Linked DNA regions of Notamacropus eugenii. The protein of the gene in region 1 interacts with the protein of each later gene in a pairwise test. Links are inferred from orthologs where the notes say so. Each region holds a gene or a part of one and is shown in the gene's direction. Other genes may lie near its edges.

The links.
Region 2: the proteins of LMNA (region 1) and TOR1AIP1 interact in a two-hybrid assay, tested with the Homo sapiens proteins (2 studies listed by BioGRID). The link is inferred for Notamacropus eugenii from reciprocal best matches to the Homo sapiens genes LMNA and TOR1AIP1.
Region 3: the proteins of LMNA (region 1) and ZSCAN12 interact in binary tests that used the Homo sapiens proteins (3 or more experiments, as listed by UniProt). The link is inferred for Notamacropus eugenii from reciprocal best matches to the Homo sapiens genes LMNA and ZSCAN12.

Annotation. Positions count from the first base shown.
Region 1 is NC_092873.1:380,196,484-380,204,215, forward strand, and holds the start of LMNA (lamin), read left to right. Parts: upstream 1-4,687; 5' UTR 4,688-4,950; coding exon 4,951-5,306; intron 5,307-7,732.
Region 2 is NC_092873.1:465,742,094-465,749,925, reverse strand, and holds the start of TOR1AIP1 (torsin-1A-interacting protein 1), read left to right. Parts: upstream 1-4,791; 5' UTR 4,792-5,176; coding exon 5,177-6,116; intron 6,117-7,832. UniProt on the Homo sapiens protein: Required for nuclear membrane integrity. Induces TOR1A and TOR1B ATPase activity and is required for their location on the nuclear membrane. Binds to A- and B-type lamins. Possible role in membrane attachment and assembly of the nuclear lamina.
Region 3 is NC_092873.1:76,710,565-76,718,571, reverse strand, and holds the start of ZSCAN12 (zinc finger and SCAN domain-containing protein 12), read left to right. Parts: upstream 1-4,966; 5' UTR 4,967-5,717; coding exon 5,718-6,119; intron 6,120-8,007. UniProt on the Homo sapiens protein: May be involved in transcriptional regulation.

The DNA of each region.
Region 1 (7,732 bases):
ACATCTGAAGAGCTCAGAATTTGGGTTCAAGGTTTTTGTGGCTTTGGGAGAGAGGGTCTCATGGGATCAGAGTCTGGCATTAGACTCTCTTTGCAATCTGAATAGAGGATGTAGCGGGAACTTGCCCAGGCTTACCAGTCCCTTGTCAACTTTCTTTGGCACAGAGATGGGACTCAGAACCATCAGCCCTCCTCTATGGGACCCTATAAAAGTAATGGCAATATTCTGGAATGGGCTGCCTAGTGAAATAGCAAACTCCCTGTTATTAGAGGTCAACAAGCAGAAGCTGGGTGACCATTGGTAAGGCTTATGGCAGAGCAATTCCTGTTCAGATAAGTAGGTAGATTAAGTAGCTTCTGTAGTCTTTTCCATCTTTGAGATTCTGATTGTCAGTCAATAAACATTTATTAAACTCTTTCCATGTTTCAGGCACAGTGCTATACTGTGGGGATACAAAGGAAGGCCAAAGACAGTCCTTGCCCTCAAGGACCTCACAGTCTAACAGAGAGAATTGTTATTTAGTCATTTTTCAGTCATGTCTGACTCCTCACGATCCCTTTTGGGGTTTTCTTGGCAAAGATACTGGAGTGGTTTGCCATTTTCTTCTCCAGCTCATTTGACAGATGAAGAAACTGAAGCTAAGTGGGAGAGGATAGGCAAATAATTATGGGCAAACAAGCTATATAGAGGATAAATTAGAAGCCATCAACTAAGGTAGGCACTAGAATTAAGAGGGATTGGAAAAGTCTGCTGGAAAAAGGTGAGATTTTAGTTAAGATCTCAGGGAAGCCAAGAGGTGGAGAAGATTGCAGCTGTTTGCTTGGTTTTTGTTTGTTTACAAATGCTTTCTTGAGGCTTTTGTTGCTATAACTCCACAGAATTACCCCTTGGGGTAGACAGGGGAGGGCTGGCTCTCCTAGCTCAGGCCTTGGCATTTGAATCTTTTCCCACCCTTCTCCTACCCTCAAGGAACTTGTCCCCCCTTATAGCTATCATCTGACTGTGTTTGACTCTCCAATCTTACTTACAGATTGGACCTTGTCAAAACCCAGCACACAAAACCAGAACTCCTTTTCTACACTTTCCCTAAAGTGGGTAACTATTTCCTCCCTCCCCCAGTGGCACAGTCTGTCCCTCCCTCATTCTGAAGTTTGAAGGTACAAGAGTCTTCCAGACTCCTCTCTTCACGCCTCATATGCAGTCAGTCCTTCCCCCTGCTGAAGGTTAGTTCTTCCTTCATGATTTTCTCTTGGCTCCCAGCCTCCTCATTTTTTCAGTCAATAGCCCTGTAGCAGCTCTTTTCATCCCACACCTTGATTACTGCAATTGACTCCTAGTTGGCTTTCTCACCTTCATCCAACACCCTTCCCACCCAAGATGCCACAGTAACCTTCCTCACACAGTTTTCATTTCATTCCACCCTCACTCAGGAATCCACAGTGGAGCCCTGTAGCCAACCCATTGGCTCATCCTTCCAGGCCCTTGTACCAATTAGTTACCCATCCCTCCCCTCTCCAGTTTTACCTTACTCCCCAAATGAGTCCCTTCACTTCAACCAGACCAGGCTTCTGACTGGTCCCAGCACAACAAATAAGTTCTTATTCCACTTTTTTGAGCCTTTGCACAAACCATTCCCTTCCCTTCTTTCCCCTCCCACTTCCACCAATCCACTTCCAGAGTCTCTTTTTCATCTAACCAATTGTTGCTGAGCACCTCCTTCAAGCTTGGGCTCTGAGTCCACCTCCACCGAGAAGCCTGCCTAGACTAACCCCACCCCACCCTAACTATTCTGTCCTTCCTGCTCTGTTTTGGGTTCGTAAATTGCTTGGTAACTGATCTTTAAACTTGTTCCATGTGTGTACAGCCTAGCAGCCTGAGAATGGGCACAGACTTCTGCTTTCTTAGCTCCAGACACAGTAAAGAGGCAATGAATACTTATTGAGTTGAGGAATCTTTCCATGTCACAAGAAAATTAAGGTTCCAGGAAGCTTAGTGACCAATACAGGGTCATGAAGAAAGAGGCAGAGTAGGGGCATGAACACCAATTTTCTTGATGTGGACTTATCTTAAAGCACTCTCCAACCAGACCCCAAATTCTCCAACTTGGCAGCCTTGTTGCTAGTTATTCGCTGCATGGCACCTTTCTTGGTGGCTCCAGAACTTCAATAAGAATCATAAGATTCTAGAATTCATTTTACATATGGGAAAACTGAGGCTCAGAATGATATAGTCACTTGCCCAAGGCAAACTAGAACTGGAATAGAACCTAGGTCTTTTGACTGTTAGTACCATGCTTTTTTTCTATTACATCAAGCCAAATTTCCCTTGCCACCACAAATTCATTCTACTTTTTGGTCTGTTTTTGGCTACTTACTAACTTCTGAATCCATTCACTATACTGATTTCCAAGGACCCAATCTGTGGCACCATCCTCAGGACTATTTGCTCCTGGGGAAGGGTAGAAAGAGAGAAGTGGCAAATGAGATCCTCTGGTTTCTGTAAGTGCTTTGAGTTTGGGGCTTCTGATCTAGTATCTAGCATAAGGCTTTGAGGTTGAGATTTAGAAGATTTATAGGATCATAAGGGTCATTCCTTGGAAAAGGGGAGTCAAAAACTCTACTCTGGGCCCAGATAAAGGCTTGGGATGCTCAATTCTTTCTATTGCTGCCTCCTGCCCCTTTGTTCTTTCTACAAAGGGGGAGACTCCAGATTGGGAAGAGTTAAATGTGGTTTTTCTTCCCCAGCCCAAAAGGGAAGCCAGGCTGTTTGGGTGGGGCATTGGGGCCCTGGGGGGGGGGAGCAAGATGCCAAAGGGGAGGGTGGCTGAGGCAGCTGGGAACAGCATGAACCCCATCCTTCACGTTTCCCTGGCTCTCTTCCTCTCCCCCCTACAACCCTGCTCCTGGTTTGGGGAACAGAAGAGGGAGAACAGAGCTTTTGTTTTGTCGGGGAAGCTGATGGTGGTAGTAAAGTGCCACACCCTAGGAGGGGAGAGAATTGCTAGGGTGGGGAGCCAGGTTTATGGTTCCTTTAGTCTTAGGGATTGGGAGAGCCCATGGGATCCAAACGATGGAAGTCAAACGTTATGCTTCCCTGTCAGGAAACCACCCTCTCCACCTTGCTCTGTCTCACTAGTATTGGGACCCATGTGACCCAAGCCCCAGTTTCTTCCCATTCTTCTTGATGTCAACTTGTTCAGTCCAAAGTCCTATTTGTTCCTCAGATGCTACCTGGGTCCAGAACCCAAGCTTGAGAACCTAGGCACCTTCTTTCAACAGTTAGAGAATGTGAAACTGGAAAAGAGCAATGTAGCTCAATTTTCATGGCTCTTCTGGAGGAAAGGGGATTTGGAGAGGACATTAGAATAGGTGTACAGTCTGGCCCTTGATACCTGGCCCTGGAGGCTGTGGAGGATAAGGGTGGATAAAGGTAGGGAAACTACTCAGGGTGTATGGGTAATGGAATGGAACTAGATACCTGGATTTTGAGTAAGAGCAGAAGTCTGCCATAGCTGAGCCAGACAAGATTAGAAACTTCCAAGCCTAGCTTTTGTGAGAGCCCGAGGGAGTCTGCTCCAGAGCCACCTATTTAGGACTTATCAAGTGGGGGAACCTGAGTTTCACTTTTAGTTTCTGGAAAATCAGGGTCAGGACTGGGATTCCACAGTCCAGGCTTCCATTCCCTCTGCATCCCCCAGCTCCAATCCACTGCCCCCTCTCTGATGAGAATGGGGATAGGGATTCAGGCATCTGGACTCTTAGCCCAATGCTTGACTCCCCTCCTCCTGGCCCCTCCAAGAACCACAGGAATCTGGGACCCTGGTGTCCTGGCAACATGACGCACAGGCTCTGGGCGTCTGTTTTGAATTACTAGTTAAAAATAAGTCCTACAGTTAAAAACGGAGAGGGGCTGAAGGGGGGGAAGGGACCTCGGAATGTTCTTCCTCCCATCTTCTGGGCCCGATATCTGACAGTCTTGGTTCTTGTTTATGAACCTTGGGGAGATAGAAAGGATGGGATGCAGGTCCCTTGAGTCTTGTTCTCCAACCTGGGTTTGGGTTGGAGAGGCATGGGGTGGGGGTGGGAGGGAAGGATAAAGGTCAGAAAAATTCAGAACCTTAAGGTGGGTAGATGATTTGGATGTCTCAGGTATCCAGAGCTTGAGCCCCTCAACTGAATGCAGGCATCCCTTCCCCCACACTTGGTTTGCTCAAATCTTAGTTGCAGAATGGGCTGCCCAGATGTGGGCAGGAGGGGGTAAGGGGAGGGTGACTCATTGGTTACTATGGAAGGGAACCCATGGGGAGAAGTGGAGTGAGTCACTTTTTGGGTACCAGCCTACCCCGCCCCCACCTGCATGGGACCCCTTAACTATGTTTTCCCCCAACTTTACTACTTGGCCCCTATTTCTCCTTCCAGATACTCCTGATCCACCCTTTGCCCACTCCCACATTTTCACTCTTCTGTTCTTAGTCTTTTGGAAAGGGGTAAAGCCCTGGGCAGGCAGACAAGTTCCAGACCATAGAGACATCCATCAAAGTTACAATGTACACAAGAGCGCATGGGGGACAACACCATGAAGGGCCTGGACACCCCCCCTCCATTTCAACCTAAGGTCCTACTGCCTAAGAATTCGGTGCGCATGCTGCTGTTCCTTTAAGAATGTGGCCCCTCCCCTCTTCCCAGGCTTATTTGAGCCTTAGCTCCACAGCCCGGTGACTCAGACTCAGAGTGTCCAAGAGCGCCGCGTCTACACTGGGCGGCCTACTTACCCAAGAAGGGCTAAGATCAGAACTCCGGGAGGTCGCCCATCCGAGCTCCGAACCCTAGCGGGCACCTGTCTCCGAGAGGAGGCTCAGCTGCCCGACTTCTGCAAACCTTCCCTTCCCCGTCTTCAGGTCCTTAATCTTCAGGGACCCCCTGCCCCCAGGGCGCTGCCACCCTGCCTGCCATGGATACCCCGTCGCAGCGGCGTGCCACCCGGAGCGGGGCACCAGCGGGCTCCACCCCGCTGTCCCCGACTCGGATCACGCGGCTGCAGGAAAAGGAGGACTTGCAGGAGCTGAACGACCGGCTGGCTATCTACATCGATCGGGTCCGTTCGCTAGAGACGGAGAACGCGGGCCTTCGCCTCCGGATCACCGAGTCTGAGGAGGTGGTGAGCCGGGAGGTGTCCGGCATCAAGGCCGCCTACGAGGCCGAGCTCGGAGACGCCCGCAAGACCTTGGACTCCGTAGCCAAGGAGCGCGCCCGTCTGCAGCTGGAGCTGAGCAAAGTGCGGGAGGAGTTTAAAGAGCTCAAAGCTCGGTGAGTGGGCCCCGGTGTCAAGGAGCTCCGTTCGGCCCAGGGAAAGGGGATTCATTGGGAGGGTGGGGTGGCAGTGGTGGTGTCTGTAGCTCCCCAGAGCGAGGAAGCGGCAGGTGGCATAGCCTGGGGGTGGGGAGAGAGAAAATATCCATCCTTCCTTCTGGGAGGTCTTCTCAGGTAAGAGGGGTGGAAGGAACCCTAGGAAGGAACAATTTTGCCTGTTCCAGAGTTCCTAACCTCCTAGGTGGTTAGGCTGAGTCAAATGGCAGTTACATGTCAGGTCAGAAGAGCCTCTGAGTAGAGGAACTAGGAGAATTGGGTGCATTTGGAGGTGAGGTGGAAAGCAAGTCGGAGAATGCTACCAATAGACTCATATGTCACAGTGCCTGGGTCCCTGCCTGAGGAGCACTGGCTGAGTCCAGTTGGGACTTTGCCAGGCTCCTGAAGCCCCAAGGAGAAGATTGGGCAATGACCAACTGGAGCTAGCATTGCCCAGGCAGGAAGTCCTAGAGGTGTTGGGGTGGTTGAAAGGGTCCTGTCAAGTATTACCCTTGCATGAATTGGCACCACGCCTACCTTGCCCAGGCTGTCTCCATGCACGTGGTATACTAGTCAAGCATAGGCTTCCAAGCCTGGCACCATACCTAGCAATGCTTTTGTCGGGGTGGTAGGGAAGTTTGGAAGACTGCTGATTCCCCTTTCCCTAGTACATGGGGGCATGGAAACCTCCAGCCAATGGTGAGCACGGGCATTCTTGCCCTTCTTGGAAGGACTCTGCAAGGTCCCGTACCCCTCCCGCTCCCCCATTGCCTGGGTCTTTATTTATTTTTTTACAGTGACTAAGCAACAAAAAAAGTTCTAGCTCCCAGAATTTCCATATTCCTTGGCCTCTCTAGGATGGGAATAAAGAGAAAGGGGCTTGTGGCTAGAGATTCCAGTCTGGATTATGGTGCTCTGTGTCCTATCTTGGAGGAAAATCGGGAGGGTATTTACCCTGCAAACCTAGCACCCCCTGATCTTAGTGAGCGTTCAATCTTGAGTTGGCTCGAGTCCATCTTTCTTGCCTTCCTGGAGACCCCAGTCATTCTTTATGCCTGGGCTGGTCACTTTCATTTTCTGTGGTCAGGTTTGTGCAACTATGTCATCTGGTTCATCCCTTTCCTCTGACGTTTGTTCTTTGCTCATTAAAATGCTTGGAGATTATGACTTTTTTGAAAATCAACCGTTGTTAATCGGCAGCCTCCCCTGGGGCCCCTCCTACTCTCCTCCACCCCACCCCACTTAAAAAAAATGACTTTGGGGAGGATTGGTCTTCTTACCACAAGTCCTAAGGCATTTTTTATTTTAATGCTTGTATCTGCCTTTTCCTTAGTGAGACCAGTAAATATGTTTAGAGATTCCTCAGTAACTCTGGATTTGGGATCTTGCACTTTCTTAGCCATTTTCTCTAAAGTCTGTTTTTTTTCAAAAATCTGTTCCTCTCGAAATAATTTCCAGAGTATTTCTTGTGCCTTCCCACCTCCCACCTCCCCCTTTTTCTGTTAGATTTCATCGTACCCTTTCCCCTCCTTCAATCTTATTCCGCAACTGGCCCAGGAAGAACCCAAGTTAGTAGAGTGTGGAAAAAAAACACTAATTCTCCTCATGGCCTTGCTTAAATAATTTAACCCATTTTTTCCCCATGTGATCTGTTCAAGGCGAATGAGTCAAGAAGAAATATGTAAGAACTAGTTAATAGTCTTAAATGAGTTCCTTCTGGAAGGGAAGATTTTGGCTGCTATTCTTTTTGGAAAGAACAATGGGGTTAATAGAACTGTGTCCAAGGGTTGCTCGTTATTTTCTTGATTTTGAAACGTTGTTTGACTCTCCCTACTTTGCAGCTGTCCCATTGTGGCTTCTGGGACCAGTGTGGGGGGGTGGGAGGTGGGGGTAGAGACAGGGGTGTATCCTATGTATGTGTTATATTTAGCCAGCTGCCTCTATTCTCCCCCACAGATCCTGACTTGGGGTGGGGCTGGGCTTCCGGAGAAGGCTGGGTGCCCTGGGGCAGTGGGGATGAGGGTAAATTTCAAAGGAAAGTTGAAGGCTCTGAGTTGGGGTGACTGGGATAAAGGGTGCTTTCAGACCTTTTTTGTCCCCTTCTGCACACCCCAGGATAATAGAGAATTAAGGACAGCCCTCTTCTCATCCTCTCTGTTTGAAGGTAGCCACAGGAGGAGCCAGTCTTTCCCAACGCTTGCCCTCAGCGATACCTTCCCTTTAGTAGATTCTGGACCCCGAAGTCTAAGAACTCTTCATATTGCTAAGTGTGCAAAGCCAAGGCCCCCACTTAAAATATCTGTGACCCTCAGACCCTTCCTTTTTTTCCACTGAGTCAAATAGGATTCACCCTCTGAGTCTATGGAAAGTAGAATCAAAGTTAGAGG
Region 2 (7,832 bases), about 86 Mb from region 1:
ATGTTATTCATGTAAAATACATAAATAAAGGATTAACTACCCTGAAATTTAAAAAGAAGCACAAGGCTAAGACTAGCAGCGCAGTTCATCCTTCACTTAAAAGTTCAAACCTGCAACAAGAGATGTAAGAGATACCCTATTTAAAACAATCATGGAAAGAATAAAATACCTGAGATTACAGCTGCCAAGAGAAACCCAGAAACTATATGAACATGATTATAAAACATTTTTATGCAAATAAAGTTCAGATTTAAGTAACTGAAGAAATATTAATTGTTCAAGTGTGGTCAGAGCCAATATATGATCAATGCTGATTTATAGCATTTTTTCTTACGACTATAGTTCTAATTTCTTCCTCTGAAAACTACCTATTCATATCCTGTGACCATTTATCATTTGGAAAATGACTTGTATTCTTGTAAATTTGACTCAGTTCTCTATATATTTTAGAAATGAAGCCTTTATGAAAGATATTAATTGTAAAAATTCTTTCCCAATTTTCTGCTTCCCTCTTAACCTTGGTTGCATTGGCTTTGTTTGTGCAGAAACTTTTCAATTTAATGTAATCAAAATTATTCATTTTGCATTTCATAATGTTCTCTATCTCTTGTTTGGTCATAAATTCCTCCATTCACCATAAATCTAACAGATGAACTCTTCCTTGCTCCCCTAATTTGTTTATAGTATCAGCCTTTATACCTAAATCATGTACTCATTTGCACTTTATTTTGGTAGTGCTTTGTAAACTTTAAGGAGCTATGTAAATGTGATTGTAATTATTGTTTTAATTATTGGAGAGACCTAAGCATGTTTGTGATTCAGTCATCATCTGCCAAGTTGAAAATCTTCCCTTGCTATAGCATTCTCTATTCTCATTCCCATCAACCTCAACCATACACCTCTGCAATTCTGTTACTCTGTCTTCCCCTTTCCTTGTGCCCTCTGGAATCCTGCTCTGTTGTTGATAAATTCCTCTTCCTCTTAGATGGCTTCCTCTTAGTCTTTACAATTTCTTGGACTTAACAGAAACCTGGATCCCCATTCCTTCAGAAGATACTGCATCACCAGTCAGTCTCCACTGTTAAAAGTACTTAGTATCAGTCAACCAATAAGCATTTAAGTGTATATTTTGTGCCCCCCTCCACTGTGCTTGGCACTGGGTATGCAAAGAATGGGGGGGAAATCTCCCTTTCCCTCCAGGAACTTACAGTCTAATGGGGAGATAGTAACAAATAACTAACTACATACATAATCTATATAGAGCATATGGCATCAATGGGGGAAGCCATTCACATCTGGGAGTGGGGGCAGAGATGAGTCAGAGAAAAGCCTTCCACAGAAGGTGGGCTTTGAACTCAATCTTGAAGGAAGTCAAAAAAACTAAGAGGCAGAGATGATAGGAAAGAATATTCCAGGAGAGTGTAGAAGTCTTCTGAGCATGCAAAAATGAGAAAACTAGGGGAGGGACTTTTAGAGGAATGTACTGATTGAGATTGTGAGAGATGAAGAGACTCTTGGAGGGGTGGATGAAGTAGGAGAGGGACTTGAGAGGGAGAGAAGATAAGGTGACAGGGATAGGGTAAAAAGAGAGGCTAAGAAACAAAACTGAGTAAAAATAAGATGGAGAGAAATTCATAAACTAATTATAACTTTGAATGTGAATGGAATGTTTATAGAAGTTCTCTTTGCAGTGTCAAAGACTGGAAATTGAGGGGATGTCCATCTATTGGAGAATGGCTGGACAAATTGTGATATATGGTTGCAGTGGAATACTATAAGAAATGATGAGCTCAATGATCTTAGAAAGCATGGAAATACCTGTATGAAACGATGAAAAGTGAAATAAGCAGAACCAAGAGAACATTGTGGACAGTAACGGCAATATTGTTTTAAGAATGACTTCAAAAGACTAAGTCCCTTTCACTGTTATAAATCCAAAAATTAAAAAATAAAGGACATATGAAGACACTATCTACATCCAAAGAAAGAACAGATAGATATATAATCTACATATTATACACACACACACACACACACTCACACCCCTGTTTGTGTCTTAATAGTATCCATCTCTAAGATAGGGGAATGAGTGCCAGGCATGGTAACAAGAGATGGAACATCACGACCACAGAACTGCAAGGTCACTGTATCTAGATCACATTGTGTGTAGAATCAAGTAAAGTGTAAGATTTCAAAGGGGAAGAGGACAAATCACGAAGAGCTTTAAAAGTCAAACCAAAGTCTTTAATTTGATCTTGGAATAGGGAGCCACAGAACTCAATGTCAGTTAGGTCTTTAATTTAGAAAAAAACTACTCCAGTAGTGGAGTGGAGATAGGACAGAGTATGAACTGGAGTACTGGCTGTATGAGTAGAGAGAATGGGATGTATGAGAGATGTCACAGAGCTAGAAATGACAAGATTTGACAACAGACTGAATATGAGGGACAAGAGTGAGGAATAGCAAATGGCCAGGACAACAAGGTTTTGAATTTGAATGACTGGGGACAGGGTAGTGCCCCTCCACAGTAAAAAGGGAAGTTCAGAATGAAATTTAGTTCAGTGCTTTAAAAGATGAAATTTTTCTTCATGACATTCTAGGCACTTTACTAAGAAATATTTTAAAATTGTAATCAAACCACTCCTGGATTGACTGGTCACAAAAGCCACTGGGATCTGTAGTTCTCCCCAGTTTAAGAAGAAACTGGGGTTGCAGTCTTTCCCAATGGAGAATTACAAATTCTAGCCAAACCCTTATTAGGGGTTGTTATAGTAATTTTCAGAGATTGGTAACTGAAATGACAAAAGTTTATGCTGGTCTTAAGCTAATCTGACAGGAAGGAATCCCTTCTACAAACCTAAGAGATAAATTCTCCGGTAGGGTACACAAATTACATTGGCCCTGGAATCAGAGGCTTAGTGGCTCAAATCTCACCCCTGATTACCTGTAAACCTTCAAGTCACTTGATCTCTCTGGATCTGTTTCCCTATCTGTAAAATAAGGGGTTGGACTAGATGGCCTCTGAAGTCCTTTCCAGCTCTAAATGTATCTTCCCAATAGGGATGACATTCCTGAAGACAAACAACTTCTCTGTTGGACAGCTCTGACATTAAAACTTTTCTCTAGGTTAAGGTTTAAGGGGTTGCTGGGTGAAACACACATGTTGTTAGGCATCTGCAGCTTCTGCTGTCACCTCACAAACAGAGGAGGGGCCAGGATATAAGTAGTCCTCCCAGGTAGACCAAGGCCACAAACAAGCAAACTTCTGTCTAAAATTGTCTATGCTCTTTCTTTTTTAAAAGATTTCTTTGGGGAAACCACTCGAGCTATTTTTGGCAACGCATCAGTAAGTATAATAGTAGATGAACCCCTTCCTTTCTAGACCACACACACAAGAAATTAAAGAAATACCTTCCACAACAAAAAGAGCCCAAAGGTAAGTTTTTGATGTGTCTTATTATTTTTGCTTATATTAATCTACTGTTAAAAAATGAGGCCCTTGAGGGATCCTTTGACAATGTCTATTCAGTATATATAGCATTTGATTTATTGTAGACAGTATAATTTAATAATTTTACAGTTGACTATGTTAATAATATACTCTTTTTAGAAGTTTTCTAAAATACTAAATGCTAGTTACTTTATACTTTTAAATAACTTTAAAAGCAGTAAAAAACTTGTGGTCTCATGTACGTATCCCTTAGGCTCAAATAGACCACTTTCATTTTCCCTTCCCTGAATGCAATAAAAAGCAACAAAGAGCTATTTTTCTTAGTGTTCTTCCTTTTTTTATCTTTCACGTTCTGATTTTACTGGAGACCAGTGTTCATATCATATATGTAAAAAATGAGTTACTGATTTCTAAAAGCACTATTATGTCCCTGTATTATGTTACCTGATACAAAAAGTATCCTTAGCCAATGCTATAACAAGGGTCTATATTTTATTTATAATTAAAAACCACAGAAAGGCAAGACTGTATGTACTAATTCTTTATTTATGATCATTTGGACAAAGTTGAGATAATGAAGTTTTTTTTACCGAGAGTAGTTTAAACGAGATCCTAATAACTTTAAATTCCTTAAACTAATTTCAAAGCATACTCAAGTTGTCACCTATATAAAAACTGATACCCTAAACATCAATCCTTTTTTATTTATTCACTAAATCATATTCCCTGGACTCAAAGAGATATGATTATTAGACTAAAGCTAGTTACTGTATCCTTAAAATAGAATTTTTTTTTTAAAGACAAAAGGCTTTTCACCAATTATGACTACCGCACTCCAGTACTTCAGATTGGTTGTTAAATACGAGTATCCTCTAATGTGGATTGTTTACTACTATCTTGTTTCTACCTAGTTTTTAACATTTTGTATTCTAGTCTCTGGCACAGATCGGGTACTTAACAAGTGCTGGATTGAGAGTAAACTAAACTTGGGGATTGTACGATGAAATCTACAACAAATTTATGCCGCAGATTTAAAAAAAAAATACATGTAATTTACCAAGTCGCTAATGAAGTGGAAAACACTCGTCAATTTCAGTTGGAGGAATGTCAGTTTCTAAAAGGCTCATCTATGGAAGAGCTCCAAGGAATGTAAACAATTTCTTAATTTTAAGGTGAGGAACGGAGGCGCCGGCAGGACTACATGAAAGCAGCGGAACAAGCAGCCTTCCATCAGCTGCACCAAGCACCCCGATTTGCAAACGTTTCCTGCCCGTAATCCGCTGGTAAATTCTGTAAGCGTCAGAATCATTTTAGCATACGGTTGACGGACAAACTTTCTTTTCATTTCTTTCGTTACTCAAATGTTGCTTTTGGAAAACGACTAGGTCGTTCTTCGGGCAGAGATTTTCCCATCAAAACCGAGTGGCTTTTGCTTTCACTAAGTGACTAACATTTCACCGTGACTTCACAAGTTTTTTATTTTACTTTTTCAATTAACAAGGCTTTTTTTTTCTCCCGCTCCCACTCCTGATGTACGAGTGAGAGAGGGAGGGAAGGGGGGATCATTTCAGAGAGCGAAGACAAAAATGAGTCCCCGCAACATCTACCCCGGGAACTGTCAAGGTCTCCGACCGACCCTTGAACCTTTCACCAGAGTCAGGAAAGGGGTGACGGAGCCGGCTCGGGCGGACGGGGTCACGGTCGGCGCGGGCGCTTGGGCTACAGATGCGACAAAATGGTGGAGGAAGCGCGGGCCGCGCTGTCTCGGGCTCCCCGGATCACGGCCTCCCGGCGGGGAGGGCCCCGGGCGGGCGGCCGGGCCCACCCCGTGACGCTCGCCAGAGAGCCCGGGATGGCCGGCTCCTCGAGCCTCCCTCCCCGCCCCCCGGCGCAGGAGGGCCAGGCTCTCCCTTCTCCTCCTCTGGCGGGCCTGCAGCCAGGAGGGCGGGGGTGACACACACACACACCCAGCGGCAGCTGACCGAGCCGGGCACTGCCTGCCTCACAACCTTCGGGAGCTACCATGGGCCCAGAGGAGCCCGCACACCGCGGCGGCAACAGCAACAAGAGCGGCGGCGGCCGCGGCCCCGACGACTCCCAGCTGCCTCCCTGACGGGCGCCAAGCCCCCGCCGCCGCTCCGGAGAGGGACCCGGCCGGCCATCCTAGGCCCGCGAACCATGGCAGGCGAGGGATGGGCAGCGCACGTCACACCCAGGGCCCCGCTACGACAAGGGAGGCGCCCGCTCGGCCCTCAAGATGGCGGCGGAAGAGACGCGCTCGCGGACGGAAGCCCCATGGCTCGGCGCAGGGGCCGACGGGAAGTGAGGTTCTCCGAGCTCCCGCCCCAAGTGTACGGCGACTTCGAGCCGCTCGCGTCCGGGGGAAGTGCCCGGGTGGAAAAGCGGACCCAGGCACAAGAGTTCCGCCCCGTGCCCGGGAAAGAGGAAGTGGAGGAGAGAAGAGCCTACTATTACCTTAGACCTCGGCCGCCTTCTCTGCTCTCGGGCTTGGGACTCGGAGAGATGAATACGAGGAGAACGACCCGGCTCCAGCAGCAGGAGGCTCCGCCGCCGCCGCAGCCCTCGCCGGCCACCACGAGGAGAGGGCTGCGAGACCTGCAGCCCTCGGAAGGTGAGGGCGGCGGAGGCGGTGGCCGCCGCCGAGGTAACGGGCTGGGGAGGCGCGCGCGCCCCGGAGAGCGCGAGGTTTCCCGCCTCGGGCGGCCACGGCTCCGCGCCCCGCGGGGGGTCCTCTCCTCGCGCCCCCTCGCGAGGGACGGGCTCGTGGCTGGGACACCCTAAGGTGCGGGAGGAAATGGATCGGGAGCTGGCGGGACGGGCGGAGAACGCGGGCGGTCCCGGAGCCCCCCGCCCTCCACCGAGGAAGAAGGAAAGGGGGCAGCCCCCCAATAGCGGGAGGCAGGGCACTGTGTTGGGCATTCCCGGGGCTTTATCCGGGGCAGCAGCGTGCGCACGAGCGCGGGGTCCGGCCCCGATCATCCTCGGAGCGCAGGGTCCGGCGTTCGGGGTCAGCCCAGACTCCTGTAGGAGGTGGGGTCTTAGCCGGGACCTGGAGGGCAGAGGGCTCCTGCCGGAGCAGCCGAGGAAAAGGCGCAGGGAACCGGAGCGAATTCCTCTAGGAGAGCTTCCCGGCCCTGGGGAGGGGGCCGCCGGGGAGGAAGGGGGGGCCCGTGGCTGAGAAGGAAGAGGAGAAAGGAGAACCCACCGTAGTTAGGGAGCAGCCTGGCCCCAGGGGAGCTCGGGCCGGGAAGCCTCCGTTGAGTGAGAGGCGCCGTGCTCAGCGTGGGTATGGGGGACCCGGGGTGCACGTGTGTGTGTGTGTGTCTGTGTGTGTGTGTCTGTGTGTGTGTGTGTGTGTGTGTGTGTCTGTGTGTCTGTCTGTGTGTCTGTGTGTGTGTGTGTGTGTCTGTGTGTGTGTGTCTGTCTGTGTGTGTGTGTCTGTGTGTGTGTGTGTCTGTGTGTGTGTCTGTGTGTGTGTGTGTCTGTGTGTCTGTGTGTCTGTCTGTGTGTCTGTGTGTCTGTGTGTGTGTGTCTGTCTGTGTGTGTGTGTCTGTGTGTGTGTGTGTCTGTGTGTGTGACTGTGTGTGTGTCTGTGTGTGTGTCTGTGTGTGTGTGTGTGTGTGTGTGTGTCTGTGTGTATCTGTGTGTGTGTGTGTGTCTGTGTGTGTGTGTGTCTGTGTGTGTGTGTGTGTGTGTGTAGGGGAGGGGGCAGACACATAGGCACAAAGTCATGCAAAGGATGTGAGTCACTCTTGGGGTTTGAATTACCAGGTGATAGACGGGGTGACACGCACTGATGGTGTAAGAACAGCCCCTGCCATCGGGAAACAGCGTGCAAAATAAGAACATAGCACTGACACACATCAGTGTGCAGGGCCAGTTGGGAGTGAGCTCCGAGAGAAGTCACTGCGCATCGAGGGGAGGGGGCAGCGGAGGAGACTTGCACAAGATAGGGTTTGAACTTGAGTCTTGAAGGGAGCCAAGAAGCAGAGGGAGAAAAAACATCCCAGGAAGATGGAACAGCCAGGCACAGAGAGGAGGGAGGAGGGAGCCACCGAAGTTTACTGAGTAGGGGAATGACCAGTGCTTTGTGAAGATCGTTTTGGCAAACTGTTTAACCTCTGGGTCAGTCCGTTATTAAACATTTGTTAAGCACCTACAAAGTGTCCAGCAAAAAGAGGCAAAGAACAGCCCCTGCCCTCAAGGAGTTCACGGTCTAATGGAATCTCTGGGCCTCCATTTCAGATTCCTCCTAAGTAAAATGAAGACAAGCATGGGCCTTGTCTGCATCATGAGAGACAAAGGGAGGTAGTGGTTATCTATCCGGCTGACCTTGAAGCCTGGAAATTCAGATCCAGTT
Region 3 (8,007 bases), about 300 Mb from region 1:
ATGCTCTAGCCACTGCACTACATAGTTGCCCTTAGGCCATTAATTCTTAAATTATCTCTGTTCAATCTGTTTTCCAGATCAGTTTTGTTTTTGTTTTGTATGAGATATTTCACATTTTCTTCTATTTTCCAGTCTTTTGGCTTTACTTTATTATTTTTCTTAGGTAATATTTTGTACCTCTGACTGGGTCCACTACAGATTTATGTTAAATAACCTCAACTGGGCCTTCATTGCTACTAGGCAATCTTACTATATCCCTCTAATCAACTCACTATCCCTCTCTCACCATCCTCTTCCCAAACTTTTCATCCCTCCTCAAACCTCCTATACCTCCCTCTCCCTCCACTCCCTCAGGTGAGAACTTGTTTCATTTTGCAGAAAAAAAATTGAGGCCATTTGCCATAAACTCTCTTTTCTCCCCTCTTCCTCATCTATCATTCAAGTATGTTCTGACATTCTCTCTTCCTTCGGCCCCATTCCACATGATGACATGAATTTACTCCTTTTCAAGGCTAATCCTTCTGCTTGTTCAAGCAACCCCATTTCATCCCATCTTTTCCAATATATTGCTCCTTCTATAATCCCTACTCTTTCACTTATTTTCAATCTCTTCCTGTCTTTTGGCTCATTTTCCTATTGCCTACAAACATGCCTGTATCTCTCCTATCCTGAAAAATCCTTTACTTGATCCTTCCAACCCTGCTGGAAAAAGCCATCCACAAGAGGTGTCTCCACTTTTTTGCTTCCCACTTTCTTCTTAACCCCTTACAATCTAGCTTCTGAACCTATCATTCCACTGAAACTGCCCTCTCCAAAGTTACTAATTATCTCTTAGTTGCCACATCCAATAGACTTTTCTCTGTTCTCATTCTCCTGAACCTCTCTGTGGCTTTAGACACTGTTCATCACTCTGTCCTCCTTGATACTCCTTTTTATCTAGGCTTTTGGGATACCATTCTCTCTTGGTTTTCCTCCTACATAGCTGACCACTCCTGTTCCATGCCCTTTGCTGGATGTTCCTCCAGATCATGCCTTTTAATCTTAAGTATACCTCAGGGTTGTGTCCTGTGTCCTCTTCTCTCCTCACTCTATGCTCCTTCAGTGGTGACCTCATCAGCCCCCAAGGATTTAATTACTATCTCTATGTTGATGATTTTTCAAATTTACCTATCCTGTCCCAGTCTCTCTGTTGAACTCCAGTCTTTGTCCTTCAACTTCCTTTCAGACATCTCAAACTGGATGTCCAGCACACATCCTAAGCTCTGTATGTCCCAAATGGAACTCATTATCTTCCCTCCTTAGACCTTCCCCACTCCTACCTTTTCTATTACTACAGAGAAGACCCAGTCTCTCAGGGTCACAACCTGAAATCATCCTGAATTCTTCACTGTCTCTCACTTCCCATTTCCAACTTATTGCTAATATCTGTTGATTTTACCTTTGCAACATCTCTCATATATGCCCCTTTCTCTCCTCTGACACTGTCACCTTTCTAGGGCAGGCCATCATCAACTCACACCTGGACTAATTGTGACCCCTTATGGGGTTGAGACCCACAGTTTAAGAAGCAATGAAGGGGCTGTGAGTGGAAAAAGCCTAAGAAACCCTGGATTATCATAATTGTCCGCTGGTGGATCTGCTTGCCTCAAGTCTCCATTCAGCTGCCAAAGTAGTGCAGGTCTGACCATGTCACCCTTCTCCTCAGTAAATTCCAGTCATTACTGTCAGGATCAAATACAAAATTATCTGTTTGGCATTCAAAGCCCTTTATAACTTAACCCCCTCCTATCTTTCCTTTTCAAGTTTTCTTGCAGAATACTCCAGTGGCACTGGCCTTTTGATTGTTTGAGTATTTTTTACTCCACCTTTCAGCTCTAGGCATTCTGTCTGACTGTCCCTTATGCCTAGAATATTCTCACTCTTCTGCTCCAACTACTGACCTCCCTGGCTTCCTTTATGTACCAACTAAAATACCATCTTCTATAAGAAGTCTTCCCCAAGACCTCTTCATTCCAGTGCCTTTCCTCTATTAATTATTTCTTATTTATCCTGTATATAGCTTGAGATATATATATACATATATACATACATGCATATATATGTATGTATATATATATATACACACACATACACACACATACACACATATATACACATATATACATACATATGTATGTTTGCAGGTTGTTTCTCCTGCTAGATTGTAAGTTCCTTTAGGTCAAGGACTGTCTTTTGCTTCTTTTTGTATTCTCAGTGCTTAGCACAGTGCCTGGCACATACTGTAGCAGATTCTTAATAGCTGTTTATTGATTGATTGATGGTGTTTCTTCTCTAGGAACTAATTGGCACAGTTGAGTATGGGGCCTGGAATCAAAAAGACCTGAATTCAAATCTAGCTTCAGACAGTTACTAGTTATCTTGAAGTCACTCAACCTCTGTTTGCCTCAGTTTCCTCAGTTGTAAAATAGGGATAATAATAGCATCTACTTCCTTGCATTGTTGTGAGGACCAAATGAGATAAAATTTTTAATGTGCCTAGCATGTAGTAGGTTCTATAGAAATATGAGTTACTATTACAGCATTATTAAGTGTCAGGGTGAAGGCAGGTTTGGGTGAGTGAGCCAACCCAGGGGTGGCCATGCCTCATGGGCTCTACACTGTTGGGGCTCATCTAGGATCTATTGTGGGGTGCCAACTACCTTGATTACAATATGGTTCTTCTTTCCTCAGTTTATATAAGTGTTTGCTTCATGTTTTTCAAGGGCAAGCCAGAATAAAAGATAGAATATAACTGTAAACTTTTTAGGCCCCTTTACTAAATTCTTACTCAGATGTTTTGTCACAGTATGAAGATGATTCTGGGGGTTTTCAAAGGTTTGAATGATGAGATCCTGACTCCAGTAAGGAAGGCTTCAGGTCCATAGCAATGGACCATGTAATCAACTGTCATTTGAGGAGCATTCTACATTGAGACTTTTCACAAATTGTATGTTGGGGCGGGGGTGTGGTCCCTGGTTGGCCACATCAAAATCATTAAGACATCTGCTGAGATGCGAAAACGTCTATGCTCTTTGGTGCAATGGCCGTACTCCAAAGTGATGCATCCCTGAACTATCTAAGCTTCATTGGAAGTCTGTTCTTAACCAAACTTGATTTTTTTGTAGTGCCTCACACACTCTTGGTAATTAATAAAAGTTTTAAAAATTTAACTGAACTGTTCCTAAAGCCTCCCCTTTTACTTATCCTCTTCTTTTGAATAAATTATATGCTTCCAATTACATTCCAGGTAAGGGTCTCATCCTACTAAGTCTTAGTGCCATCTATGAAATTAAATTTGACTTTTCATTAGGATCTTGCTTATCATCTGTGCTACGTAGGTTAATTTTTTAAACAAATTGTAATATTAACTAAGTTACAAATGTCTAACAACCAAAAAGATGAGGCATTAAGAAAAACATCAAACTTTAAGGACTAAACTAAGCAAAGAGGACGCTATGAAGTATTTTCTAGTCAAGGTTTTATAACAAAAGTTATTAACTATTTACTTTTTCATTTTAAGAACTTTATGATAAAATGACTGCTCTTTGCCTGTTTAAAACATCTTATAACCCAAACTTATGTAACAAGGGAATGGCTAATGATCTATAGATCTTTTAAACAAGGACAAACATTCCACACTGTTGATGTAATCCCTATGTGGACCTTTGAGCCAGTGGAAACATTTTGCAACTGGTTCCAGTCCACTCACCAGGTAGTGATGAGGAGCTCCCTTCATTGTCTGGATAGCCAGAACTGAGGTGCATTCAAAAGGCACCAGTTGACCAGAACCTGTTTCTCTTTGGTCTATCTGCTTGATGGTCTTCTGGAGGGATAAGAGGTATAATTCTATAAGAGAGAGGCCCTCCCGCTCTAGGTTTGACATATGTGGACCAGGAGTATGGTGTTTACTCTTTAGTTTTAGGTGAAGGAGATTAGAGACCACATCTTTGTAAGTTTTGAAAGATCAAGAAAAAAAACTACCAGGAAGTCCAAGATCCATGCTGCAGTATGTCCACCTTTCAGCCCTGAAGAGCAAAGAGTTGGTCTTCCAAACCTAGCCTAGTGGTAACTGAGACAACAATTCATCCAGCAGTGATATAGCATTTGGATGTAAACTTGATAAGAATAATTCTACGGAGAAAATGCATTGAGTTTGAGCTTACTCTCCCCTAGAACCAAGTCAATATGGAGGACAGTATGCTCCAGAAGTGTATGTAGAGGAGCAAAATGTTTTTCTGTTCTTACTCTATGTTCTAAACAAATATCCCTTTAAAAAAAGTTGTTGATATCAGTTCATAATATCTATGGCAGCTAACAGTGAGGGCCTTGAGCCAATAACATTAGAGAAAAACCTCTTAACCCCTCCAGAACCCTGAAGAAATGTAGCCAGCTTCACTCTGAGACCAGAGTAATAGTTCACATTTTCACATTAAATATCTTACTCATGATGATCTCCAGTATCTTATACTACTATCAAATTTAATTAAGTTCTTTCCATATTTTGCTCCAATCAAAGAAATAAGGCCCAATTTAACAATCTGATAATGAAGACAGGTAGTGGACAGAGAATATATATTGGTCAAAATGATTGAGGAGCTAAAACAAATTTCAAAGCCTGCCAATTGACTTCGTTACTAGCTCCTTTCTTGGATTTTGTCTCTTTTGAACTTCTGGGTGCTGCTATTCCGTTTTTCTCCCCAAATCGTAGCTGTGATAGTGTCTTGCTTGGGGAAATAGCGTTGTTTTCTCCCTCCTCATTCCTTTCCTAAGAAGTGGTGCTGGTGAGTTTGACAATACTTTGTTGGATAACTTGCCTGGGATAAATTGAAGGATAGACATTTGCGTTTTTATTGTTGTTTGCTTTTGTTTGAGTACTGGGTTTGTTAGCTATTGTCACAAATTTATCATTGAAAATTCCATTTATTTATTTTAAAGAATCATAGGATCCCCTCCAATTCCTAGAGAGAACCCGGAAGTGTACGGGAGGGGCCTGGCTGGGGTGCTTTCTACTCTCCGGTTTCCCCCAAACCCGCGGAGACTCGCTGATACATTTCCGGTCTTTGTGGTTAACCTGGCGTGGGTGTGGGGGCATCTTACTGGTTCAGTGTCGCCCGCCCACCGCGCCTTTGAACGTCAGCAGGGCTGCACTTTCCCAAAGCGCCCTGGAGGGCGGGCGCACCAGCCTCCTCCCTCCCAGCTGGGTAGTGCACCGGTTTGCGGGTCCCTCTCAGCTGCCAAGCCAAGCCCTGCGCTGCGCCCGGAGATCTGGGGCACCCCCGGTCAGGGGGCTCCTCTGATCGCTCCTGAAAGGGATTGTGGAGGGATAATCCTGTACAAATACCCAATGAGGGAAGTTAAATGAATTAAGGGAATTCCCAATTAAGGGGACCCTCCCCTGATTCCCCCTCTCCCCCGCCTTGTAATTTCACTCCCATCCTTCTTTTCTCATTATTCTTTTTTTTTTAATTTTTATTCTTTAAAAAGAATTCCTTTCCTTTTAAAAATCTTTTATTCATAATTATTTCATATTTTTAGAATTTCCTTATCTTCAGTGAATTGATGTTCATTAGTTAATGTTTAAATTTCTTGGCAGTGTTTGTATCCGTACTCATAAGTGAATAAATAAGCAGAAACATTGTAACTACCTAGAGTGGCCTTCAGTGCTCTTCAGGCCTGGGATGGCAGCCTCCTGGAACACTGAGACTCCACAAGACTGCGAGAGAATTTTGAAAGTGAAAACTGAGGATGAGGGTTACAATTTCAGGCAAGATTCCACCCAGCCGAATAAGCATCTCAAAACCAGAGAGTGTTCCCGGCAGTGCTTCCGGCAGTTTTGCTACCAAGAGGCCTCTGGGCCTCGAGAGGCTCTGAGCAGACTCCGGGAGCTCTGTCACCAATGGCTAAGACCAGAGATAAACTCGAAGGAACAGATCTTGGAGCTTCTGGTACTGGACCAATTTCTAACCATCCTGCCTGAGGAGCTTCAGACCTGGGTGCGGGACCATCATCCACAGAGTGGAGAGGAGGCAGTGACTGTGCTGGAGGATTTGGAGAGAGAGCTGGATGAACCAGAGCAACAGGTGGGAAGAGGGAGATGTGTGGAATTGTTTGTTTGTTTTTGGTTTTTTGTGGGCCAACAAGGGTGCGTATCTGCAGTCCATTAAGTATCACCCACCAAAAGGTGTTCATACACTTTGGTGCATCCAAAATATATACTGCTTATAATTGTGCCAAACTGCTGACTTGAACTTCCCTGTCCATGGTTTTCTTTCTAAACTGGGTAGCACTATTTGCTGCCTCTGCTTTTTAGTTTAGAAGTAAATACAGTTATTATGGAGAAAAGATGTGAAACAGACAGGGATGGGGTTCTTGTTGTTTCAGTGTAGAAATTCAGCAGCCATGAAAGGCCAAGGTCCTGTTTGTGGACTGCCCCTGAAATTGTTAAATGAGGGTATTCAGAACAGTTACCACTGGAGAAATGAGACAGGGAAGCAGTAGTGAGAAGAGGGTGGCGTGGGAGAAGTTTCTTGCTTACCAGTACTTCTCCTAGGACCATGCTACACTATTCCTTTACTCTGTGCTCTGTCTCATATGATTAGTGGCAGTGACCCAGAAATGGTATTTCTTACATTATTACCAAGACAATAACCCATTAAGTCCTAGAGCTGGAAGGCATCTTAGAAATCAATCTCTTTTACAGGTATAGCTCTTGAGCTGCTGAGCTGGGTGTAGAAGCCAGGTCTCACAGCTTCTCATCTAGCGCCATCCCTGCGTCTCTTTTCTTGTTTTATTGCCTCTCCCAGGGTATTGATGGATGATAGCACATCTTTTTGATCTTTATCTCCACTTTCATTTCATTCATTAAATCATTCATTCATTGTTTAATGCCTGCTCTTTGCTTAGCACCATGGAAGATATAAGTATTGAACTGTGACTGTAAAGTCCTAGAGAGCAGTAATATTATCTTTTTTCTTTTATATCTCTAGTGCCCAGAACAATGCCTTTTATGGAAATGAATTGAGGATTTTACAATCTAATTTCAAAGATGAAACATAACATGTGAAAATTAACAGGCCAAGGTGACCATATGATCAGTGCCAATTAGTATAGACAATTTGTACTGAAGAAATTCAAAAGAACATGTTCAGTGAGTCTGGAGTAGTCAGGGCTAGAGAAAGAGGAACTTTCTTAAGGTCTTGAAGTTAGGTGTAGAGGGATCATTCTCTTGAGGAGTACAGTGTATTCAGAGAGTAGGAAATAGAATGATTTGTTTGGATTGTAAGTATAAAGGTAGGACATATGGGTAGATAGATGACCTCAGGCCAGATTGTGGAAGGCCTTGAACATGAACTTCATCTGCTGGGTCAGTGACTCCCAATAGCTAGTTTTGATGTTATCTCTTTAACCACTATGTTATACTGTCTCTCATCCCTAAAAGAAAAGAACTTTACCTAGTTTTTAAAAAAATGTAATATTCAGGATGCAGGTGATTAATTTGGGGCAAAAAGAGCCTCCCTGTGCCTCTCAAATCACATAGTATGGGGAACTCTCTACCTAGTGGCAGACTTTAGCTATATTCATGCTTGATATAGGGGAAATTGGAATCCATGTTGAAGGGGAATGACACTTGCCTAAAAGAAGTCAACCAATTTTATCTTTCCTTAGCAAGGGAATGGCTGAGAAGTTAAAGGTGGGAAGGAAGGGAATGCATCTTAAAGAGGTCCCAGCTTCCCCACCAGTTTCCCTAGTTTGGAGCTGGTCTTTCTTTTCCTTTCTTTCCCTAGCCATTGTGTGGACACTAAAGGTATCTGACAGCATTTCGTTTACCTGCAATAAGCATGGTATGCAGTAAGAACTTGTAAAAGTCTTCAGGTTTCTCATCCATTTCACTTCGACAAACATTTAGTGCTTATTGCATCTAAGGTGCTGCTCAAGGCACTGAGATGCAAAGAGGAGTAAGATGTTAGC